Arabidopsis thaliana: one gene and its partners. Each later gene encodes a partner of the first gene's protein in a complex. Each region holds a gene or a part of one and is shown in the gene's direction. Other genes may lie near its edges.

Evidence for each region.
Region 2: MED9 (region 1) and SFR6 share a complex: the UniProt entries of both Arabidopsis thaliana proteins name them as parts of the mediator complex.
Region 3: MED9 (region 1) and AT5G19480 share a complex: the UniProt entries of both Arabidopsis thaliana proteins name them as parts of the mediator complex.

The regions. Positions count from the first base shown.
Region 1 is NC_003070.9:20,550,321-20,556,865, reverse strand, and holds MED9 (mediator of RNA polymerase II transcription subunit-like protein), read left to right. Parts: upstream 1-2,611; 5' UTR 2,612-2,691; coding exon 2,692-3,165; intron 3,166-3,234; coding exon 3,235-3,297; intron 3,298-3,382; coding exon 3,383-3,463; coding exon of another isoform or gene 3,464-3,542; coding exon 3,543-3,601; intron 3,602-3,687; coding exon 3,688-3,745; 3' UTR 3,746-3,961; downstream 3,962-6,545. Other genes in the region: AT1G55090 (carbon-nitrogen hydrolase family protein), read right to left, coding at 1-27, 132-267, 368-536, 611-745, 842-945, 1,044-1,267, 1,349-1,654, 1,816-2,009; AT1G55070 (F-box and associated interaction domains-containing protein), read right to left, coding at 4,233-5,414. UniProt on the Arabidopsis thaliana protein: Component of the Mediator complex, a coactivator involved in the regulated transcription of nearly all RNA polymerase II-dependent genes.
Region 2 is NC_003075.7:2,494,061-2,502,197, forward strand, and holds the start of SFR6 (sensitive to freezing 6), read left to right. Parts: upstream 1-3,870; coding exon 3,871-4,208; intron 4,209-4,285; coding exon 4,286-4,354; intron 4,355-4,444; coding exon 4,445-4,533; intron 4,534-4,616; coding exon 4,617-4,729; intron 4,730-4,840; coding exon 4,841-4,942; intron 4,943-5,386; coding exon 5,387-5,477; intron 5,478-5,664; coding exon 5,665-6,261; intron 6,262-6,469; coding exon 6,470-7,088; intron 7,089-7,182; coding exon 7,183-7,262; intron 7,263-7,585; coding exon 7,586-7,668; intron 7,669-8,107; coding exon 8,108-8,137. Other genes in the region: NSF (AAA-type ATPase family protein), read right to left, coding at 730-780, 868-949, 1,030-1,125, 1,431-1,606. UniProt on the Arabidopsis thaliana protein: Component of the Mediator complex, a coactivator involved in the regulated transcription of nearly all RNA polymerase II-dependent genes.
Region 3 is NC_003076.8:6,567,711-6,575,390, forward strand, and holds AT5G19480 (mediator of RNA polymerase II transcription subunit), read left to right. Parts: upstream 1-3,790; 5' UTR 3,791-4,117; coding exon 4,118-4,145; intron 4,146-4,233; coding exon 4,234-4,526; intron 4,527-4,674; coding exon 4,675-4,878; intron 4,879-4,987; coding exon 4,988-5,047; intron 5,048-5,180; coding exon 5,181-5,219; 3' UTR 5,220-5,913; downstream 5,914-7,680. Other genes in the region: NUDT24 (nudix hydrolase homolog 24), read left to right, coding at 362-477, 572-786; AT5G19473 (RPM1-interacting protein 4 (RIN4) family protein), read left to right, coding at 1,711-2,064, 2,920-2,970; AT5G19485 (transferases/nucleotidyltransferase), read right to left, coding at 6,197-6,262, 6,356-6,472, 6,561-6,665, 6,744-6,836, 6,923-7,174, 7,263-7,350, 7,425-7,474, 7,584-7,642. UniProt on the Arabidopsis thaliana protein: Component of the Mediator complex, a coactivator involved in the regulated transcription of nearly all RNA polymerase II-dependent genes.

The DNA.
Region 1 (6,545 bases):
TTTGAACGCCTTTTTGTCTCCTCAGAACTGCAAATTTAAGATTTCAATATGGGGAAAAAAGTTTCATCTCTGCTGTAAATCCACACAGTGACGAAAAATCATATTCTCTTTGCTCTTATTAACTAATTCACCTGTTTTCAGAACCCATAAAGACAGTGTAAAATATTCGTTTGGCAAACTCTTTGCTATCAGTAGGAAACTGCCCATTAGCATAATTCCCAATTCGGTTCGCATCAGCTTTTACTTGCTCATCTCCCTTTGCAATCTCTAAACAAGAAAGAAAATATACTCTGAGAGAACTCAATATCATGAAATTTCAACAAGACAAAACACAGTTCAACATACATAGAAAAAAGCGCCAGTGTACCTTTAACAACAAGTTGGCACATGCAGCCAACAATAGCTGCCACGGAGGAGCTGTCTGCTCCGCCAGAAAGAGGAAGCAAAAATCCTGAAGCGCCACTTCTTCTCAAATAGTCCCACATCCAGCAAGCGGGACCAAAGGCTATTTCTTCTTGTGGAGAGTGGTAAATGATCTACATTACTAATGTATATTAGAGTGGAAAATTTTAGATGTTAACTTAACATCAAATACTCAAGGATGGAGAACCTTCTTCGGACTGCTTAGTGTCATTTTCAGGTTGAAGGACTGTGTAAGTCTACAGGGCACAGCTACTGAAGATACTTTAACCTTGCAGCTTGCTTGTTCCTGAAAGCTACTTATAGATCCACGAAGGCTAGCAACCTTTCTCAAGACAAATAAGCAAGATGATCCTAAGAACTTTTCATTTATATATCACAAAACAGAAGAAAGTAAAGCCAAAGGGTAACTGTGGGATACCGCATCAAGATCCACTTGTGAAATGATGACCTCAACGTCTCTCAACGAGAATTGTGAGCCTTGAGCAACAACATTCCCGTTTACAACAATACATGCACATCCATCTGCACTTGGTTACAAATGAACAAATCTCACTCAAAAAAGTAGATATGATTTACTCAAAAATGATACTTTCAATAATTTTAAGGGTTGTCAAACATACCGTAGTATAAGCGGCTACCATCGCATCCTTGTTGATTACTGTACATATACACCCCACCACGAGCATGAGTAGCCCCCATAAAAGCATTCAGACGAATATCTAGTTTCCTAAGTTGGTGATGACTCCCACTTGCATTCATAAATACTTCAACACCATTCAATGCGAGCTCGGCATGAGGAGGAAGTGGACTAAACAGTTCCTCACAGACTTCAGCTGCAACAGCCCTGATAAGGAAATATAACTGATACAGTTAAGCAGACAAAATCATTGACAGTGTTGAAATGGAAGCATTTATCCAAACTCACGTGTCGATAAACTGGATGTAACCATAACCAAAAGGGACTGATTTCTGCTCCAAAGCCTCTGAAATTTCAATGGGGAGCTGAAATTCCTCTAGCTCTTCTCTCTGCTTCCAAGCTGTGAACCACCGTAGCTCCCTATAGTTTCCATCGTTTGCGAGCCACATTTTCGGTCGAATCATGATGATTCTTCTGTTCATACAGAGAACCTGGCAGTTATAACGCTCTGCTCCTTTAATCACAGGCATTCCTATGCTGCACAAAATATCATCCGTCCAATCACCAAGCAGCAATTCCTTCAAACACTCCCACCTGAAAGAAGATATTCACATGAACATAAGAAGAAACGGTTAAACATGATTCCGATAACTAAATTCAGAAGAAAAAGAAATTAATTCCATCATCTAAAGTGATAGTACCAAGTCATTCATGCCATTCATCATCGAAATAGAAAACTAAAAATAGAAGCTTACGCATGAGTGACAGTGTCGAGTTCCAAGAAGTGATCCTCGCAACCATAGCCAGTGACCTCGAGCTCGGGTCCAAGCCTGATAACAGCACCAGCAGCCTTTGCCTCAGCGATCGAAGCCTTGATGTTCTTCATGTTGCTCTCGAAATCCATGGCCCATTGGTTCAAGTTACACGTAGCAACCTTCAACAGCCTCATCTTCGTCGCCTAAAGAGAAAGACAAGTAAATTTACTGTACATCAAGTAGTGTAAAAAATCTGACTTATCTAAGGCACAAACTTGTTCATGAGAACAGAAGCTGGTTAAATTAGTTAAAGGAACAAACTTTGTATTACTTTGCTAATACTAACAATTCAAATTCAATTTTAACAGCCATAATACACAATATCTGTAACGAAGAACTCGTCAACGCAACACTATTCGATGTGAATCAATTGCCAAAAGAAGAGAAGGAAGAATTGGAGCTTACGTGAATGTGCAAAGAAACCAAGTATCAAAGTCGTGAAATTCGGAGATCGTGAAAATTGAAAACTATGGGAGTTTGTATTTCTTTCAGATGTGAAATTCACAGACTCCAAGTGATTGTGCAGTGCTCGTGCAGAACAGATTGTGACCGACCAAGAAGAACATTCGGTTTGAGAGGAAGAAGAAGAAGAAGAGATTGATACTGAAACGACGGCGTTTTACGATTGTAAATTACAAACAAAACCTTAACTGAGAACAACTTCGTTTTATCATGACACGACATCATTTTTTTTTTTTTTTGGTCAAAACACGACATCGTTTAAGTTCCCACTTTTGTCTCTTCTTCGTTCTTTTAAGTTTTAATAGACGACGACGGCGACGAGAAGGAGAATTAGCGAGATCGGAAGGAGAAAAAATGGATCAATTCTCAGGAGGAGGAGGTAATTGGTCGATGATCCCAAACGTGCAGGCGCAAGGTAACTTCGGTACACCGACGAATCATGACCAGCAACTATTCCTCCAGCAACAACAATTACAACAACAACAACAACAACAACAACAACAACAGTTTCATCTTCAACAACAACAACAGACGCAGCAGCAACAACAACAATTCCAGCCACAACAACAACAAGAGATGCAACAATATCAGCAATTCCAACAACAGCAACACTTCATCCAACAACAGCAATTCCAACAACAACAACGGTTGTTACAATCTCCTCCTCTTCAGCCACAGTCGTTACAATCACCTCCGCCGCAACAGACGATGGTTCACACGCCTCAATCTATGATGCATACACCGCAGCAACAACAACAGTTGGTTCAAACTCCGGTGCAGACTCCTCAACAGCATCAGTCTTTAGCTTCTCATTTCCATCTCTATCCGGTAAGAGAAACAAAGAAAATTGATGAAATTGGAATCGTTGGGGGTTCTAATTTCGTGTTAATGACGCAGATGGTGGAGAAATTAGCTGATGTGATCGAAAATGGAACACGAGATCAGAATTCTGACGCCCTGGTTTGTTAAAAATCAAGTCTTTTAAAGTGGTTTTGAGATTTCTAGGGTTTCTTATTGGATGATGTTGAAATTGTGGGATTTGCAGGTGAATGAATTGAATAGCCATTTCGACAAGTGTCAACAGTTGCTGAATTCGATTTCAGGATCACTAGGATCTAAAACTATGGTAACATTTTGGATCTCTGTATTGGTTCTGTTTAATCTTTTGTTTCTTATGGATCTCTCTCTCTCTCTGTGTTTTATAGACTGTTGATGGCCAAAAGAGAAATGTTGAAGAAAGTGAGCAATTGCTTCAACAGAGAAGGTTAGCTAGATTGTTAGTATCATGTTTTATCTGATCAGATTGTGATCGTGCTCTTACTCTTTTGTTGTTAAATGTCTTCTGGTCAGGGATTTGATTGTGGAGTATAGGAAATCTATTGAAGAGATTGTGACAATGGAGCATTAGTTTCTCATATTTTGATTCAGCAACTGTTTAGCTACTTAAGACCAATAATTGTTATCAATAAACCAATCTTGATTCACATAATAAAGAGAATGTGGTTTTCTTCAAGAAAATTCATTCTTCGGATTACAAATAGATCACAATGCATAATGTGTTTTGTCTGCATCAAACCAAACCAAAATCTTTGTATGTGGGACATGCAACAGAAAGCTCAACCCAAAAACGATATAAGCCCAGGTAGTTGTTGAACATAGTGAGTGGTTTTGTGATTTAGATTCAGAACAGAGTAGAAAAAGCATTGTAGCGACCATGGAAAATTCAACCATTATTCCACAATGATCCTCCAAATATAAAACAAAACACCATTGAAGCCACATCTATTAGTCTTTTAAAAAGAAATAAAAACACCGACTTCTAATCTATCCCTACTCACTATTTTGAAATCATGATAATAGTCTTAAACAGGTAAAAAAAAAACCCAATAAAACACTCACGTAAGCTTCATATTCTCTAGATAGTTTGGAACAGCATGAAACAAAACCCGTTTAGAACCTTGAGATTCTGGAACTTCAACTCTTACTCTTACCACAATGTTCTCCTCGAGATTGTAGTAATAAAGGTAAAAAGGAACTTGTGGATCATAGTGATTTGGGCAGAATACAGCTTCACCTTTACTAGTAACTAAAAAGTTTACATCAATTCCATTGAACTCCGGCCATTGAAGGGGCTTTACGTAGATATGCTTTGACCATTTACGTTCCTGGCCATGCTCTAAAACCCACAACACCAAATCGTTATCATTACTATTTATTGAACCTAATTTACCCTTGTAGTTTATCAGAGAGGGAGGTTTCCAAGTAATAAAACCAAATTTCTCAGACCTAACGTCAAAGCAAACGATCATAGGTCCCAACATAGGTTTCATAGAGGTTGCTGCATAATACAAAACACCTTTGATGCATATCCCCTTATGATAACGGTGGGTATAATAATGTCTGCGACATTGGATCTTCCTCCAAAATAGATTTCTCCTTCCAGTCTCGAATGTGAGAACTTGATGCTGACTATCAAACTCCTCCCCTGTTCCATGATGCACCGAGGTTACACACAATACCTTGAACCGTTTGTTGATTGGATCATACCCGATGGCGAAATAGTTTATTGTCGCATGTGCTTCCAATATGGGTAAGGTTACGTACTGCCCTGTGATGGGATTATAAATCACAAAAACTGTGTCATTTTTTATCTTACGGTGATAACAGACCAGTCCGTGGACAGAGCTAAGGATTTGAGAGAAATCTCTAGGGATATCCGTATGATGATGAGCAGTGGCTACAAGAGATGAATTCTCATCTGGATTTTCAGGCTGTGTTGAAGTGTAGGAAAATAACATTCCTCCACCTAAGAAGGTGAAGATGAACCTCGGTGGATCGGGATACTTGATCGGGAACAACTGGTTATAATTTGGTTGTCGAATTATCGACGACAAGAGCTTACATACACAACGACACTTGGCCATAGACTTTGCAGACAATTTCGATAAGATTTTGATGACCAAATCTGCAGGGATTCGATCAAAGTATTCTCCTCCAGAGTTTGAACATCGTTTATTGGATTCAAATACGGTTAGGGTTAGGTTTTCTTTTGTATCCTGCTGCTTACGTTTTGTCATTGCCCTAGATTTTGACTCTGCTTGGTGATTTCAAAATCTTCATCTTATGATGACATATGTACTATGCCTCAATCAAGCACGCTCCATCATTTGGGCTTTTACTAAGGTCCACTAGATACTTTTAAGGCTTTGTGTTTTGTCCGCTGGAATTTAAGAGAATCGATTTTGTACCTCTTCCTTTCGTAATTTCCTCCTCTTGTCTCATCAGAAGCTGTCCTTTTTCATGTTTATACCACCTAGAAAGAAGATTACAATAGACCACGATGTTTTGTCTGCATCAAACAAAGTCAAAATCTTTGTCTACAAGACCACTTTTTCTATACTCTTGGCACATGCAACATAACCAGCGGTTCTCGAGATACATATATGTATATGAATAATATATACATTTGATTCCTTCTGATCAACACCAAAAAGAGAGGTGAATGGAATTTAAAGATTGATATCGCATCTCAGCTGGCTTTCTCTAGTCATCTTTCGTGTTGTTGGAAACGGTTTATCTTGAAGATATAGCTTGATGAAGACGTTAAACACTGCTGCTTACTCTGTTGGTTGTGTAACCTTGGATTAAGCTTGATGGCGGAAAAAAGTATCGTAACCATGGAAAAATCAACCATTCTCGTTAGACTCAACAATGGGGTTCGAAAGAACATACCCGTCTCTGTTTTATCTCATATGACAAACATGAAAGTTGTCTTCCGTGGACTAACCAACTGCATCACAACCTGTTAGTATGTAGAAGGGAAAGTAAACAGTGCTCTGATGTTTCAGTTTTGTAAAGAGGTTTGTTTCTTGTTCCTGACACCTTATTTTAGATAAAAATAAAATAAAGAGAAGCACTTGTATATATGTGCGAGAGCAAGTGCAAAAAGATCACTCTGCTTATCGAAAGCAATAATAACCCTTAACAGCTAAAAAAATAAGGAAAAATATACACAACTGAGCACTAAACAGAGTAATATTGACAAAAGTTTCTTTGTAAAAGGAAAACAGAGTATTTGAAAAAATGGTTTAAGGATTTAACCATCCAAGTTTAAGGCATTGTGCATTATCAAGTATTTCAGGAGCCGGAAATTATTGTGATTGTTGTTGAGATTTAGATTATAGAACAGATAAATAAGAAAGTACTTT
Region 2 (8,137 bases), on another chromosome or scaffold:
GGCCAAATAACCATATAAGTGATACCACATATGAAATAAATGAGTAAATATAACTGTAAGCAGAATATTATAAGATTTGCAGAATGGTCAACCAAATGCATTCAATAAAAACCAATGGTTCAGCAGAAAAATAAGGTAAATGACAAGATCCATGTACACATTGCTACAAATGGAAACTATACCAGCTAATCTGTTTTATTTAGACCTTATCTGTTTAGAAATCACAGTTCTCTCGTTTTGCCTCTCAGATGCATGCTTAAACCACAGCACAAGACATGTATATCTTCAGAAACCAAACATGTAACATTGGTTCAATAAATTAGACTAATACGATTTTGTGAGGATCTAAAGGCCAAATAACCATATAAGTGATACCACATAATCAAGAAATACATGAGTAAATATCTGTAAGCATAATATTACAGGATTTGCAGAATGGTCACCAAATGCATTCACTGAAAACCAATGCTTCAGCAGAAAAATAAGGTAAATGACAAGATCCATGTACACATTGCTACAAATGGAAACTATATAAAACAGATTAGCTCGTATAGTTTCCATTTCCCATATAAAACAAATGGAAACCAATGCGTGCCTTATCTGTTTAGAAACCACAGTACTCTCATTTTGCCTCTCAGATGCATGCTTAAACCACAGCACGAGATGCATGTATCTTTGAAAACCAAACATCTAACAATAACAGAGACAGCAGAACAAGAATATCTCTACCTGGTTGGTGTATTTCCTCTTAAGCTGGGTCGAAAGGAGAGCAGCATCAACCTGTAAAGTAATATTGTACAGAGAAGTTGAGTTCAATCACAAAGCCTACAAATATCTCAAGAAACACATCATAGACATCAAACAAACCTGCTCGCTTTTAGTTCCTTTCTTCACAAATTCCAACTCCAGCGTCAGCATAGCCAGATCAAAATTTTCAGGAGGAACAAATCTGCAAGAACAAGACAATATTCAGAAACCAAAAACGTATTCATGCCAGAAAATTAATATAAAAACAAGCTGTATAATCACCTGCTAACAGATACCATATCACCAGTCGAAACTCTAGCGTGTCGCCTTTGAATAGCATTGAGAGCAATATTTCCATCACGGATGCTTCCATGTCCAGTAATCACCAGTTAAGTTCACAAAAATCGAAATAAATGACACAATGAACAAGTTCAACATTGTCACCGACCAAAGGAGCCTAGATTTCTATAATCCATGAAAACCAGAAAAACCTAACTTGTACTACGATCATAGATCAATCAATCATTATAAGAACCATTCATAAGGCCGAGATTCAAATTCGAAGATCGATTTTGGTAAATTTAGCAGTAATTAGCCATATCACATAAACAATCAACTCCTAGGATCGCATTTCGCATTGCAATGTAAGAAATGAATCGTAAAATGGAAATAAGAAAGGATATCAGAGAGAAAGAATGAAGCTATCGGCAACGTTGGCGAGGAAGAGATCGGAACCGGGAACGGAGAATTGACGGAGATCGGAAGAAGAGCAGTAAGCGAGGTTAGTAAAAGCTAGATCTGCGGACGGAGTATTGGTCACAGTCATCGTCATGACTTGCGATCCGTAACGACCCGCCATGGCTGGGGTTTCGATCTCAGGTTTCTTCGAGTCTTTTTGATTTTTGTAACCTTAACGAATAAGAAAATATTTGAGGGAGAAGCAATAAACAGAAGACTACGATTGCTTCCTTGATTTTAATAAGATCTTTTATTTTTCGAGTCCTGATCAATGTTTTGGAAACCAGACCAAACATTCCGGTTCGACCAATAGCCGTCTGAATTAAACCAAAAAGCGGTAAATTAAATCTGGTCATACCCTCTCGGCTCGGTATTAGAATCCGGTTTGCAACACAAATCATAATTCATTTTTTTTGTTGTTCTTTTCTTATTTTTTTTTTTTTTTTTCAGTCTAAATTTTAGAATACTTGCTCACTGATTATTTTGAGCAAGTCATGCATGAGACACATCCTCACAATTCAATTTGAGTTCGGATTAACCACATTTATTTATTTTTCAACAAATAGTTCAAAACTTCAATCGATGATCAATTATGTGAAACTAGAAGGTCAACACATAAAAGCTCAAAAGATCTTGGACTGTCACAGAGCAATGATAGATGATGGATGCTAATGAATGGAATAAACACAATGAGAAGGAAGATGAGGCAAAACAACCTTCACATAGGGAGATTTTTAAATTGAACAACTAGCTCAAGTAAACTTATAAGTAATGTTGTAAACATGGAATGAATAAGTTTGAAATTTGGTGCATTCTTAGATATGAGAAGGTGGTTAAAAGGGTATGGTGCAAAGACATATCCATCCCTAGTATTTAATAGATTGAAAGAAGGAATTTTTTTTTGGTTCTAGTTTAATGAGTGAAAATGAAAAAATAAATAAAAAGGCAAATGAAGATGAAGATGAACTCAAACTTTTGACTCTCTAATGTAATCTTATAAGCAAATAACCAACTTTTCTACTGAAAGTTATAAGAAAATGAGGCAAAAGTTTTATTTATATTAGGGAATTTAATGAAAAAAACCCTCAACTTTGGCCAGATCCATTTTTAAACCCTAAACTATGTTTTTAGTAAAACAAACCCTGAACTAAAACCTGTTAATAAACTTAACCCCACAGTAATTAAACAACGTTTAGGGTTAAGTTTATTAACAGGTTTTAGTTCAGGGTTTGTTTTACTAAAAACATAGTTTAGGGTTTAAAAATGGATCTGGCCAAAGTTGAGGTTTTTTTTCATTAAATTCCCTTTATATTAATTGAAGCCGCAAGCATGAGCTTGACCCGTTTGTGCTCATGGATGGCTCTGCTTGTATCTAGTTAGAAGCCGAAACAACTAGTTTTCAGTACGCTATGCATGTAACTCAAAGAATTTGGTGTAAGCAATAAGTGATTCTCATTCTTGGTCGTGCTACATTGAGGGAGATACAACAACCATGGGAAACACTTATGCCTAAGCCTAACTTTTGATTTGGGAGGAGGCAAATGAACTAATGCCTAAGCCTAATATTTTGCACAACTCTACTCGCGTGGCACCTCTTATCATCTTCAAATTGGTGGATCGTGAGCTTCGCAACCTAATCACTTCTCGACGACATCGCAAGCGTTGGCAGCGGCTAATGCTTTTATGGATTCGTTAAACACACCTAAATCTTTTCTAATTCTATTGTAGCCTTGTTTTTATTTTTTTTGCCTTGGTTACTTTTCTATAGGTTGTACGTTCTTGTATTTTCTGAACTCTCATTGTAATGATATTAACAAATTTAGCAAAAAAAAAAAAAAACTAATGTCAAACAAGGATCCTCAAATGCCAAATGTCAAATTAAGTTAGTACCTTTCCATGTTTACAAATTTGAATTTGAAGATGGTAAATTAGAAGAAAAAATGAAATTATGATCATTTTCCTTAATCAAAAGATTCAAAACTATCATTTAAAATTTACTTCTTCATTTTTTGCTCTTAAAAGAAAAAGTAAAAAATTACAAAAAGAGGGGAAAAAAATTTAGAGAGAAAGTGACCAGACACGACGGCGTTTTTGCATCACTTTCACCGAGATTTTTTTTCTGCATCCCGGCGACGAGACTGTGACTCCACCAAACCCTAAAATCAAAATTGCATTTTTTGTTCGATTTTGATTTTGTGGGGATTTTGGAATTTTCCCCGCACTAAGTCGTCTCGTTAACCCCACTTAACAGTTTCTCACTTTGACACTTTCTCTCTCTCTCAACGCACAGTGCTTTCTGTCGCCTTCAATCGCGACTTTTTGTCACACTTGCCCTCTTTTCTCCGATTTTTCTATAAATTTAGGGTTTTGTTTGCTTTCGTTGACATGAATCAGCAAAACCCAGAAGAAGAAGTTTCTTTGGTTAATAATAGCGGTGGTGGAGGAATCATCGAAGCTCCAGCTATAGTGGAGGAGAAAGAGGAAGAAGGATTACAGCAGAAGCAGGAAGAGACTATTGAGTCTACCGATCCGATTCTCGTCGTCGTTGAGGAGAAATTGTTAGAGAAATCAGTAGACGGAGAGAAAGAAGACGATAATAGTAGTAGTAGTAACATGGAGATTGATCCTGTGAGTCCGGCTACAGTTTTCTGTGTTAAGCTTAAGCAGCCCAATTCCAATTTGCTTCATAAGATGAGTGTTCCTGAATTGTGCCGTAACTTCAGGTTTGACTCTCTCTCCCATCGGAAAATCTTTAAATTTCATCAATTCCTGTAAAGTTTTCTCCTTTTCTTTGTGTTAGTGCTGTTGCGTGGTGTGGCAAATTGAATGCTATTGCTTGTGCTTCCGAGACCTGTGCCAGGATTCCAAGGTATGGTTTTTGTTACTTTTCTATGTCTTGAATGTATGGGCAGTGATGAATTTCTCAATTTTCATCTTTCTCTGTTCTCATCTCTTGCAGCTCCAAGGCAAATACACCTTTTTGGATACCAATACATATCTTGATACCTGAGCGCCCTACTGAGTGTGCGGTGTTTAATGTTGTGGCAGGTATTTTGATATCAGTTAATTATTTATGAACTCGGTTGATCTAGTGGGTGATAAACGATTATGATGCAATTTTTTATATGTAGACTCTCCTCGTGATTCTGTCCAATTTATCGAATGGTCTCCCACTTCTTGTCCTCGTGCGTTACTCATTGCTAATTTTCATGGACGTATAACTATCTGGACGCAGCCTACTCAGGTTTGTGCTCCTGATCACTGGGATTTACCTTTATATTTCTTCTTTGTCTTCTGTGTCAAGATGTTTTATGACACCCTCAGATGATTTTTTTTTTGTGGATTGGTTTTGCAGGGTTCGGCTAATTTAGTGCACGACGCTACCTCCTGGCAGTGTGAGCATGAATGGCGTCAGGACATTGCTGTTGTTACAAAGTGGCTGACAGGGGCTTCCCCAGTATGTAATCTTATGTTTTGCTTATTTGCCATTCTATCAAATGCACAGCATATTTGTCCCTTAATGAGTTCGTTAAATTAGTAATGGAGGGCTTGCATGTGAGAGTGGGCACTGGGATTACTAAATCGTGAGTAATTGAACTGGAAATGTCTCTACGTTTTGGAGGAAATGAGATGGAGAAAACACAACGTCCTGGAAATCCCAACTCTCTGTTTGCAAAATTACTAGACTCCTAAAAGATCTTCCAATTTGCGTTTCTTAGATGCATTTCTTTAATGATCGGCATGAACACATAAGGAAATGAGTAACAGATAGATAATAATGCCATTGCAAAGAACATGTTCTGAAGGACTTAATATCATGTTGTTTCTGGCCACCTAGTTTGCTGCTCTAGTTTTATCCTAGGAAATTTATCCTCTATGTTTTCTTTTTATTGATAATCAGTATAGGTGGTTGTCCTCCAAGCCAAGTTCTGGTACAAATGCAAAGTCAACTTTCGAGGAGAAATTTCTCTCGCAGAGCTCTGAAAGCTCAGGTTTTCTTCTGCGTGCCTCTTGTGACTCATTTTTTGATGATATATTCAGAATTATGCACTTAATTTTAATTATGTCAGTTCCTTTGACATCCAAATATATGTGACAAGATCAATACAACATGTTCTGACGTTAGTGCATTTTCCTCCACTTTATGTGACGGTTCTGATTCTCTACCATTTGTTGCAGCTCGGTGGCCCAACTTTCTCTGTGTATGCTCTGTTTTCTCATCCGGCTCTGTTCAAATTCATTGGTCCCAGTGGCCTTCTAACCAGGGAAGCACTGCACCAAAGTGGTTTAGTACAAAGAAAGGTCTTTTAGGTGCAGGGCCAAGTGGAATTATGGCTGCTGATGCTATTATAACAGACAGTGGTGCCATGCATGTAGCAGGAGTTCCAATTGTAAACCCTTCAACAATTGTAGTATGGGAGGTGACCCCTGGCCCTGGAAATGGACTCCAGGCGACTCCAAAAATCTCTACAGGCAGTCGTGTGCCACCATCCCTTAGTTCTTCTTCTTGGACAGGTTTTGCTCCTTTAGCTGCGTACTTGTTTAGCTGGCAAGAATACTTAATATCCGAGATAAAGCAAGGGAAGAAGCCCTCAGATCAAGATTCCAGTGATGCTATATCGCTAAGTTGCTCACCGGTTTCCAATTTTTCTGCTTATGTAAGTCCAGAGGCTGCAGCTCAGTCTGCAGCAACCACAACATGGGGATCTGGTGTTACCGCTGTTGCTTTTGATCCAACTCGTGGTGGTTCAGTGATAGCAGTTGTTATAGTTGAAGGTACTGTTCTCATCCTTCTCGGAACCTCATACTGTTTCCATGATTGAATAAACATTTTCAGGTTTACGTTTAGTTTTTGGTCAATCATTTAGAAATGCTCATATATTGAAGAGCTGCCAGATGAGAAAATGCTAATTTTGTTTGAGTGATGAAGCGCAACAGCTTCAATCTATTGTTTAAAATAAATGCTAATTGTTTGTGTCTGCAGGGCAGTACATGTCTCCGTATGATCCAGATGAAGGTCCTTCAATCACAGGCTGGAGAGTACAGCGCTGGGAATCAAGTGTTCAACCTGTTGTACTGCATCAGATATTTGGAAACCCAACTTCAAATTTTGGAGGACAGGTCCCCACGCAAACTGTCTGGGTATCCAGAGTGGATATGAGCATACCACCTACTAAAGATTTTAAGAATCATCAAGTAGCTGCAGCAGGACCAAGTGTGGATGCACCAAAGGAGCCTGATTCTGGTGATGAGAAGGCTAACAAGGTTGTATTTGATCCTTTTGATTTGCCAAGTGATATTCGGACACTTGCACGGATTGTCTATTCTGCTCATGGTGGTGAAATTGCGATTGCTTTTCTTCGTGGTGGAGTTCATATCTTTTCTGGTCCAACTTTTTCACCTGTTGAAAACTATCAAATAAATGTTGGATCTGCAATTGCTGCACCCGCATTTTCACCAACAAGCTGTTGTTCGGCTTCTGTATGGCATGATGCTGCTAAGGACTGCGCAATGTTGAAAATCATCCGTGTTCTTCCTCCTGCTCTTCCGCGTAACCAATCAAAGGTTGATCAATCAACATGGGAGCGGGCGATCGCTGAGAGGTATGTAATCTCTGGTATATATTTTCTAGCTTGTCTGCTTGCAAAGGAACTTATATTGTGACTTGAGATATGAATCTGCATTCTTTCTTAACAGATTCTGGTGGAGTCTTTTGGTCGGAGTTGATTGGTGGGATGCAGTTGGCTGCACACAGAGTGCTGCAGAGGATGGGATAGGTATACTTTAGTGCTAAGTTTCTTGATTTAAGTGTTATTTAATATCTGCAGTTGGATTTTTTTGGGTCTTTAGTTGTGGAACAACCACTGGAATTAGTTTTGCTTAGAAATATGACAGTTTGTATTTTAGTTTGGGAATAAGTTCTAGTTTTTAAAGGCTGAGTGTCATTCAAAGAACCTTTTCTCTGTTTTTCTATTTTGCTTTTATACTAAGGTTTGAATGATAGAAACTTTGAATGATAGTGGTTCAAATATTATATTGTATTGTTTGAATAATATACTGCTTAAAGCATTGGATGATGTATTTCTTTTTATGATTACAGTTTCATTGAACAGCGTGATTGCTGTCATGGATGCTGATTTTCACTCCCTTCCTTCAACACAGCACAGACAACAATATGGCCCTGTATGTTTTTACTCAACCCGAATCCAACTCATTATCTTTTTCCTTTTTAAATGTCTGAACTGTTTGCGTTGCGGTACCGTTTATTATGTCTTTGCAAAATATTTATATATATATATATATTTTTTTTTCTGGTTTTATAATGTAAAGCTTCTCTATTCCATGAGCATGCAGAACCTATTTTGTGTTGTTCTTTTATCGGACTATAAGATAGTGTAGCTTTCTCTAATTTAAAAAAAGAAAGAAAAAAGGAACAAACTTCATCTGACTTTAGATTATTTGAGTAGCCAATATACAATGCATCTGATTGACTGATTCTAAGACGCTGAACAAAATCTTGGCAGTCTATTGCCCCCTTGAGATTCTTCGTGTTTTTTTTGCTTTTTTCCTTTTTGGTTGGTTGCGCTTTTTGGTAAAGAACTTGTATTTTTATGGTTTACAGAACCTAGATAGGATCAAATGTCGGTTACTT
Region 3 (7,680 bases), on another chromosome or scaffold:
TGCCCAAGTCCACACAAAAAAATTCTAAAACTAAAAAAGGCTACGAAAGTGCTAATTCCTTGTGTAAAATATGTATCTCAGCAAATTCCTTGTGTACAATATCATCAGTATATTGCAACAACCTTTTACTATGATTTGAACTAAAAACTTCATAAAAAATTCGCTTAAAAATCAAGATAGTTATGACTTAATAGTTTAAATAAAATTTGGTCCCAGCTGGTCAAAAAGTTTTTGGGGTGGATGCCACATTATTTGATTCACCCAAGTGTATGTGTACATTCTGCTCAGTATTTAACAAAGTAGTACCTATATAGCTCTCTTGATATTTTCCAACCTCTTGCATTTTTGTGTATTCTTAAAGGGCGATTGCGGTCGGTGTTGTTTCCTACATGGATATCGATCGGTACTGTTTCACACGTGATGTGCTGTTTTGTTATGATTTGGAACTCCCTCAAGATTTTGTTCCCACAAATCAAGGTTAGGCAATAACTAGTAAAGCAATCAGTAATCTTGCTCAGATAGACAGGTAGATATACTTTGTCATAGCATAGTAATCTTAATTACATTGCAGATGGAGAAGTTGACAGCTTCAGGTTGATTCCAGTCGCTCAAGTTGCTAATGTGGTTCGGAAGACTAGTTTTTTTAAGGACAGTTGTTCCCTGGTCATTATTGACTTCTTGTTTCGGCACGGGTACTCACTCTTTTCTCCCAAAATTTCTACCTCAGAAGAAACATGTTACTTACCATTATATATTGCGGGACTTTTATGCTCTCGCCGCGGATAGTAACATCCTTATGAGCAATCTCCAATTCCCTTTGGCAATACATTCTGTTCCATTTTGTCTATGCAGGTTAATCAGACCAGAGTCACCGGGTTACTTGGATCTATACCGACGCCTGAGGAATGGAGATTGCTCATAAGGACGTTACTTTCTATCTAATGTTTTAAAGAAAAAGCTCACTCTCTAATAAATTAATATTAGATACTCTGACTATGTAATAAGACTCATGCATGTATATAATATTCAGAGTCTTCATGTGCCTTCATGAACATATATATACCAATCAAGGAAGTTATAAAACTTCATTTATACAAATGAGCAAAACAAGTTCACAATTTAATTGTTCTCTTCAAACAGAGTTATTGATTTTTAGCATCAGAAAGCTAATCCAATTGTGTGAAGCAAACACTAATTATTTTCATCGTTATCCATTCGAATTCTTGTAACGATATGATGAAAGTACACTAAGATTGACATTTCAACCTCAACAACTTTCTACTTGCTTAGAAGTCTTCATGACCCCTAACAGCCTTTTCCAATAGGATGCCAAAAGTTAGTATTAAAAAATCCCCCGGACATAAAGGAACACCATTGCTTGAGATCCTCCAAGTTTAGAAACCTCCTAAATCTGCTCCTATGAAATCGTGATTTCAAACAATTTGTACTATAAAGGAAAAAGTGGAATTTTACAAGAGAGATCGTTCTCCTCCTCGTCATGAACACCTTCATCAATGTTTAAGAACATCTTTCTTCTAAACCAAGCAATATCTATTTATGGATAAAAGAAGGGAGGCATGCTCTCTAATTTTTTTATAAAATCTTGTTTCTTTTCTTTTATCCAACTATTACTAAATCATCGATCTTTATGATGTCTGAGTTACAATCGAGACATGTTGAGCTTTCATCGGTTAATGCGCGTTTTATAGAATGGGGAAAATTAACCGATGCAATCTCAACATCGATCTCATTGTTCTTTTTTTTTTTTCCGGAAATATTTGGTTCCCTAAGCAAATTATATGTTTATCTAACGAGTTTTATTCTTGGATACAGAATGCTGCATGGACTCCAGTTCCACAGTTCGGAGGGTGGGACCAAAAAGGACCAAATGATGCTACAAACTACTCGGTTGTCTTTTCTAAAGCTCGCGCAAACAGGAAGCAGAACAAAGCTGGTGTAAGACATTCTAGTTTGGGAAGCGAACAAGAACTCATGGTAAGTGTTCGTCGCAACCACCAACAACTTCACCATCGCCATGAAACTCAAGACGATGACCCTGTCATGGTAATTAAATTATCTCTCTCTACTTACTCTTCCATGGATTCTTTGGTTCATATTCACCTTGTGATGATCCTTTTCCCCTTAGTCAACGCGCATGGATCATCACAAGGTGGTATAACAATTCAGGAATTGATTTTCTCTTTGCGTCTTTTGTTTGTTTTGTGTTTTTGCATGCGCCTAAAAAGAATATTTCATTCCATTTCTTTCTTAACTCAGAGACATAATTGAACCATGAATGTTATTCAACTTAATTATGAGTTAATACATGCATCATAGTATCAGGTCTCATTTATGAATATGTAATGATAGTGTATCTTTAAATTTGATGTTATAGTGTATTGGCTTGCAGTTTGTTTCCATGGTTTTGAAATGATGTGTTTTGTTCGAACAATGAATTTATAGTTCGTTTCCATTTTCCCATTTTCTACTTTCTTTTTATTTGTTAGGAAAACTTTGTTTTTTTTTTTGCATTTTTTCCATAACATTTCAATAAGCAACCATATTTTAACATTATATTCCCACCTAAGCTAAATTTCATTACTTCTATTGTTAGATAAAAATATAATTAAACCAACTAAAAGTCTGAATCATATTATAATCTTTGCATTATGTTTTAACTATATGTTGGGAGTTACATAAATTTGTTTTGCTTGGAGCCTCCAAACTTTGAAGAGGCAAACATGAACGAAATGTACACTGCTTTTCTAGAGCGAATATGAAAACTCCATCTCTAGTTTGTATAACAGTCGAAATCACCTTGTTATACGAAGCATTATGCAATATGTGAAATGTATTAAGAGGAAGCATGTTGTCACCGTCATAAGTCTCTCTAACATTACTAATTTAATTACCATGCAGAAGAAGAAGAGGATCTTGACCTACATTAATTGTTGTATAAGGCCAAACTAGGGCTTTGTTCTTCTACAAAGTCGGAATCTTTCTCTCTTCAGCGATATAGCAAATATGTCTCAAGTGTGTAAAGACAGTAGTGTAACGTTTCTGTAATCTTCTTTATCACACACAAAAAAAAAAAACGTTCTGTTCTATGTGCATCATCTATTAAGATACCCCTGGTTGTGTTGTGTTGTGATACATTTTGACTTCTTCCTACATCATACGAGAACAAAATAAAACATGACTTAACCAAACCGTCAGATGCAGAATCCATTTAACTAATCTTCGATAAATTGAGAATTGTCGGATGATCATAGTTTTAGAAACAAGAGTTAAGAAATCATGCATTGATTGCTGGTACGATTTGGCCATTTGGGTGATTTTAGCTTTGGTTAATCATTCTCCAACTTCAATATAAAGGATCCGAACAATAGCAATGACTAAACGAATCACTTTTTGGCCTTAGCAAATTGGTCTTAATTATTTGGCCACAAATACACATACATATGACCATATGAAAAACAGTGGCTATCTTGCAACTGAGTGCCACCACCTAATCGTGGCCATATCCACTAACAAGTTGACCACCGTCTTAATCGGTGGCTATTGACGATTGCAACAAAAATTATTTGACGGCTATATTAGCATTTTTTTTTTTTTTTAACTATGTGATTAAAAATGCAAATTATAAGAAAATTGAAATTTTTATTAAAATAAAAATACAAATGTAAAAAAAGTCGTTGTGAAATCTGTAAAGTTGATCATACGCACTATGAAGCGCGTGAACCCCACGCGGTAACCCGTATAAATAACAAAATTTTGGACGAAAAAAAAACAGAAGAAGAAGAAAAAGAAATCGCGATTTTATAACGCCATTGTTTGAGGAAACTCCTAATCCATTCTCAAACCCTAGTTACTTCCTTCTCGAACGTTCCTCGATATTCCCGCGGGAAATTCACGACCAAGAGCAATCCGTTTTCCAGATTAGGGTTTATATCTCTGGGTTGCGATGAGATCTGCCTCGTGAAGTCATGTATGGCGGTGATTGATCTTTGCTTCAGCTTTGTTTTCGCTTTTCGTCAAATCTTGAGCTTATTGAGCTTTGGCTTGTTTGGTTTTCAAATTCCAATAATTGCAGTTTAATCAACAACAACAAAAAAATATGGAATCAGAGAGCGTTAAGTTTGGAGGTAAATTTGGTTTCCAAGCTTTGATTTTTGTCAAGTTTTATTATTTTGGGATTTGAGGGTCAATGAGCTTCTGGGTTTCTAAGTGCAGGTCCTAGAGAATTGGGTGGTGCACTAGATCTTATAACACAATACAAGTTGTTGCCACACCATGAATTCTTTTGCAAGAGATCACTTCCAGAGTCACTGTCAGATGCTCATTATCTTCATAATTTGGTTGGAGACACAGAGATTAGAAAAGGAGAAGGAATGCAATTAGATCAGCTTATTCCTAATGCATCACTTAGTAGCCGAGATACGAATGCTCGCATCCAACCTTTTGTTCTTGATGAACTTAAGGAGGCTTTTGAGCTTAATGATACAGCTCCTGTTGAATTGCCTCCAGTAAGAATATTGCTCTCTCTGTTTAGATTTTAACTTCCTGTAACATCTAGATCTTTTACTAACCATGATAAGTTGAATTACTTCCAAGTATCTTGTGATGATAGTTGAGCTAGGTTTGAGAATATGAGATCTCCTGTTCTTATTTCAGGCAGAGAAGGGAGCTCCTACCACTGTATCAAAATCAAAAAGTGAGTCAAAAGATAAGGATAGGAAACATAGAAAACATAAAGACAAGAAGGAGAAAGATAGGGAACATAAGAAGCACAAGCACAAGCATAAAGATAGGATCAAAGATAAGGATAAAGACAAGGATCGAGACAAAAAGAAGGAAAAAAGTGGACACCATGATAAGGTTATAAAACTGTCTGCTCTTGTTGGTACCTAGGCCGTCTATATATGTATATTTTGGATTCTTAAATTCGATAGAATTGACGTGGTATACGCTATCACTTTACTTTCAGAAAAGGAAGAACAATGGGACTGAAGATGCTGATGACGTTCAGAGGCACAAAAAGAGTAAGGTAATATACTAATGGCAATGGAGGCATCTCCTTCTTTTTAGTGAAGCTGAATTTAGAAGTTTCTGGTTACTCGCACATTGGTGTTGCTCTGCAAATTTTATTTTTGTCGGCCCTAAAATTAACTTTTTTGCAGCATAAGAGCTCAAAGCTTGATGAGATGGGAGCGATGTAGGTTGGAGGCTGAAGCCGTGCACACTTTCATTTTTGTATTGCACACCCAAGGTGTCATGGAGAGGCTTAGAAGCAGCTAACTTTGTTAGGTAACTCGGTCACTAGAGTCATCTTCTCATCTTTAGATAACGCACGTTTCTCATATGGGGCTGCGTCTGTCATAACCAACGGTACTGTACATGATGAATATGATTGAGTCAACAAAGCTATGGTTGTTTTAAACATGAAGAAATAATTATTGTCTAAGGCTTATAAGAAGATAACCTGGAACTCTAGCGACCGAGAGTGCACTAACTTTATTTTGGAGTCTCAAATAATTAGAAATGTTTCTATATGGTGTAGATTTGTCTCAACATAACATAAAATGATTTGGATTTGGTTTTGCAGGTTTAATCTCTAAATAAAAATTGCATTGTGGGAGAAGTTAGGAGGGGTTAAGCAACGAAAAGTTCGCCAAGAAGAATCACAACTTGTACATTTTGTTACACTTTAAACAAGCTATGAAGTTTATCTATTCTCGTGACTATTTAAACAGAAAGGTTTCATACATTCGAAATCATTTACTCTGAAATTTATCGAATCTGAAGGCATGTGACTTTTTGGGTGTATTCGTCTCTATGGAAATACCAAAAACAAAATTTAGATCTTTCAGGAAAGTGTTTTATCTCGAACAAAAGAGTAAATAATGAGAAGAACAAAAAAAGACATATGTAATATAACCAACGGAACAGAGAGAAGGGTCAGTGGCTGACAAAGTGTTTCAAGACTTCATGTATATGTAATGAATAGCAAAAGATCAAACTCTATCAGTAAAAGATACTAACGGAAAATCTCAAACTCTTAATCAACAAAACCCTTAGTGGGAAACTTTCCAATCCTTCACACTCTTCTCTCCTACCAAACGAATGACTAAGTAATGCTGCTTTTCATTTTAAAAAAGCGTTCCAAGATGTGACCTCATTTGCTTATCCTTCCTTTTCATTTTCTAGCAAAGGTCTCTCCTTTGTGCTCACTCCCGGCACAAACAACATACCCTGCTTCCACCTATAAAACCAATTGATGTTTTGATTATGGAATCTGTAAAAGCATTGATACGTAGGGGACACTGTATTATGAAAACTGAAGGGGGTAACGTACTTGGCAGTCTCTTAGAGTAACACGCTCTTGAAGCTGTGCGTTGCTGCAAATGACTGAGCCTTGTATTGAACATCCGTCTCCAATTGTGGCATGGTCCATCACAACTGAATTAACAATCTGCACCCACATATACAAGCAGTTGAGTGTCTTTTCGAGATGTACACCACCTTTCTTTGGCTGGCTTGAGTAAAAAGCTAATTATTACCTTCACATTGGAGCCTATCCGGCAATGTCTCCCAATTACAGATCTTTTGACACTGCATTTATCACCGACTTGAGAGCCTTCTCCAAGCATACAATGAGGTCCAACCTGCAACCCAAAAATTGTTATTCACGATCACAACTCACAGAACAAATGCTCAATATCTACACATGTAGAGTTACGTACTGTGGTTTTCGATCCAAGCTCAGCTGATGGGTGGACAATGTTGTGATGAGCAGAAAAGGAGTATCCAGATAGGTGGTTTGATTCACCAATAACCTGCACAAGTTTGAACAATTGCGGAGCTTCATAAGTCAACTGAGAAAAAAATACTGGAGAAGGAATCCCATGTGTAAACAACTTACATCTCTGTTTACGTCCATGAAGGCTTGAATGCTATTCAAGCGGACGAAATACTTACTTTCATCCGCTATATAAACACAGCATTTATGGGTTTTCCGGGTACCCAGACCTGATTCATAGACTTGATGAAAGCTTGGCATGGATGCGTTGGAGAGAATTTGAGACAAGACCACCTCGTTGTTCTGCATATTATTTTTTCCATTTCCATTCCCATTTTCTTCTACATTACTTTGGTCAGAGAAGACATCTGATCTCTGATACTCAAGGGGAAACCGCACAAATAAGGAATCAAAATGGTAATAAAAAAAAAATGGTCATTTGCAAGGACCGTATCCGACTAACCAGCTGTGTACGAACAAGATACGGTAGTACATCCTGTTTTAGGCTCCTAAAAGCAGGTTTTTGATCCAAAACTTCCTGCAGAACTGCTCTGTAAGACAAAAGAACATATTGAGTATCGACAGATAAAACTACTTTGATAGCAGGAAAGCAGATCTGACCAACCTCTTGAAGGCATATATATGAGAATCCATCAGATCTGATCGAATTTCCATCTAAATCGAAAATGACAAGATAATTAGAAACTGTACTAAGAATTTGTAATATATGAATCATAAAAAGATGCATTTGTAGGTAATTTCAAAAACTTAATAAGAACATTACCTTGCCAGCCGCACAGAGAATGCTCTTTTTTACTCGGGTATCTTTCTTAATCTCAGTACCTAACACAATTTCAGGAGGTAAACCAACAACAAGTTCA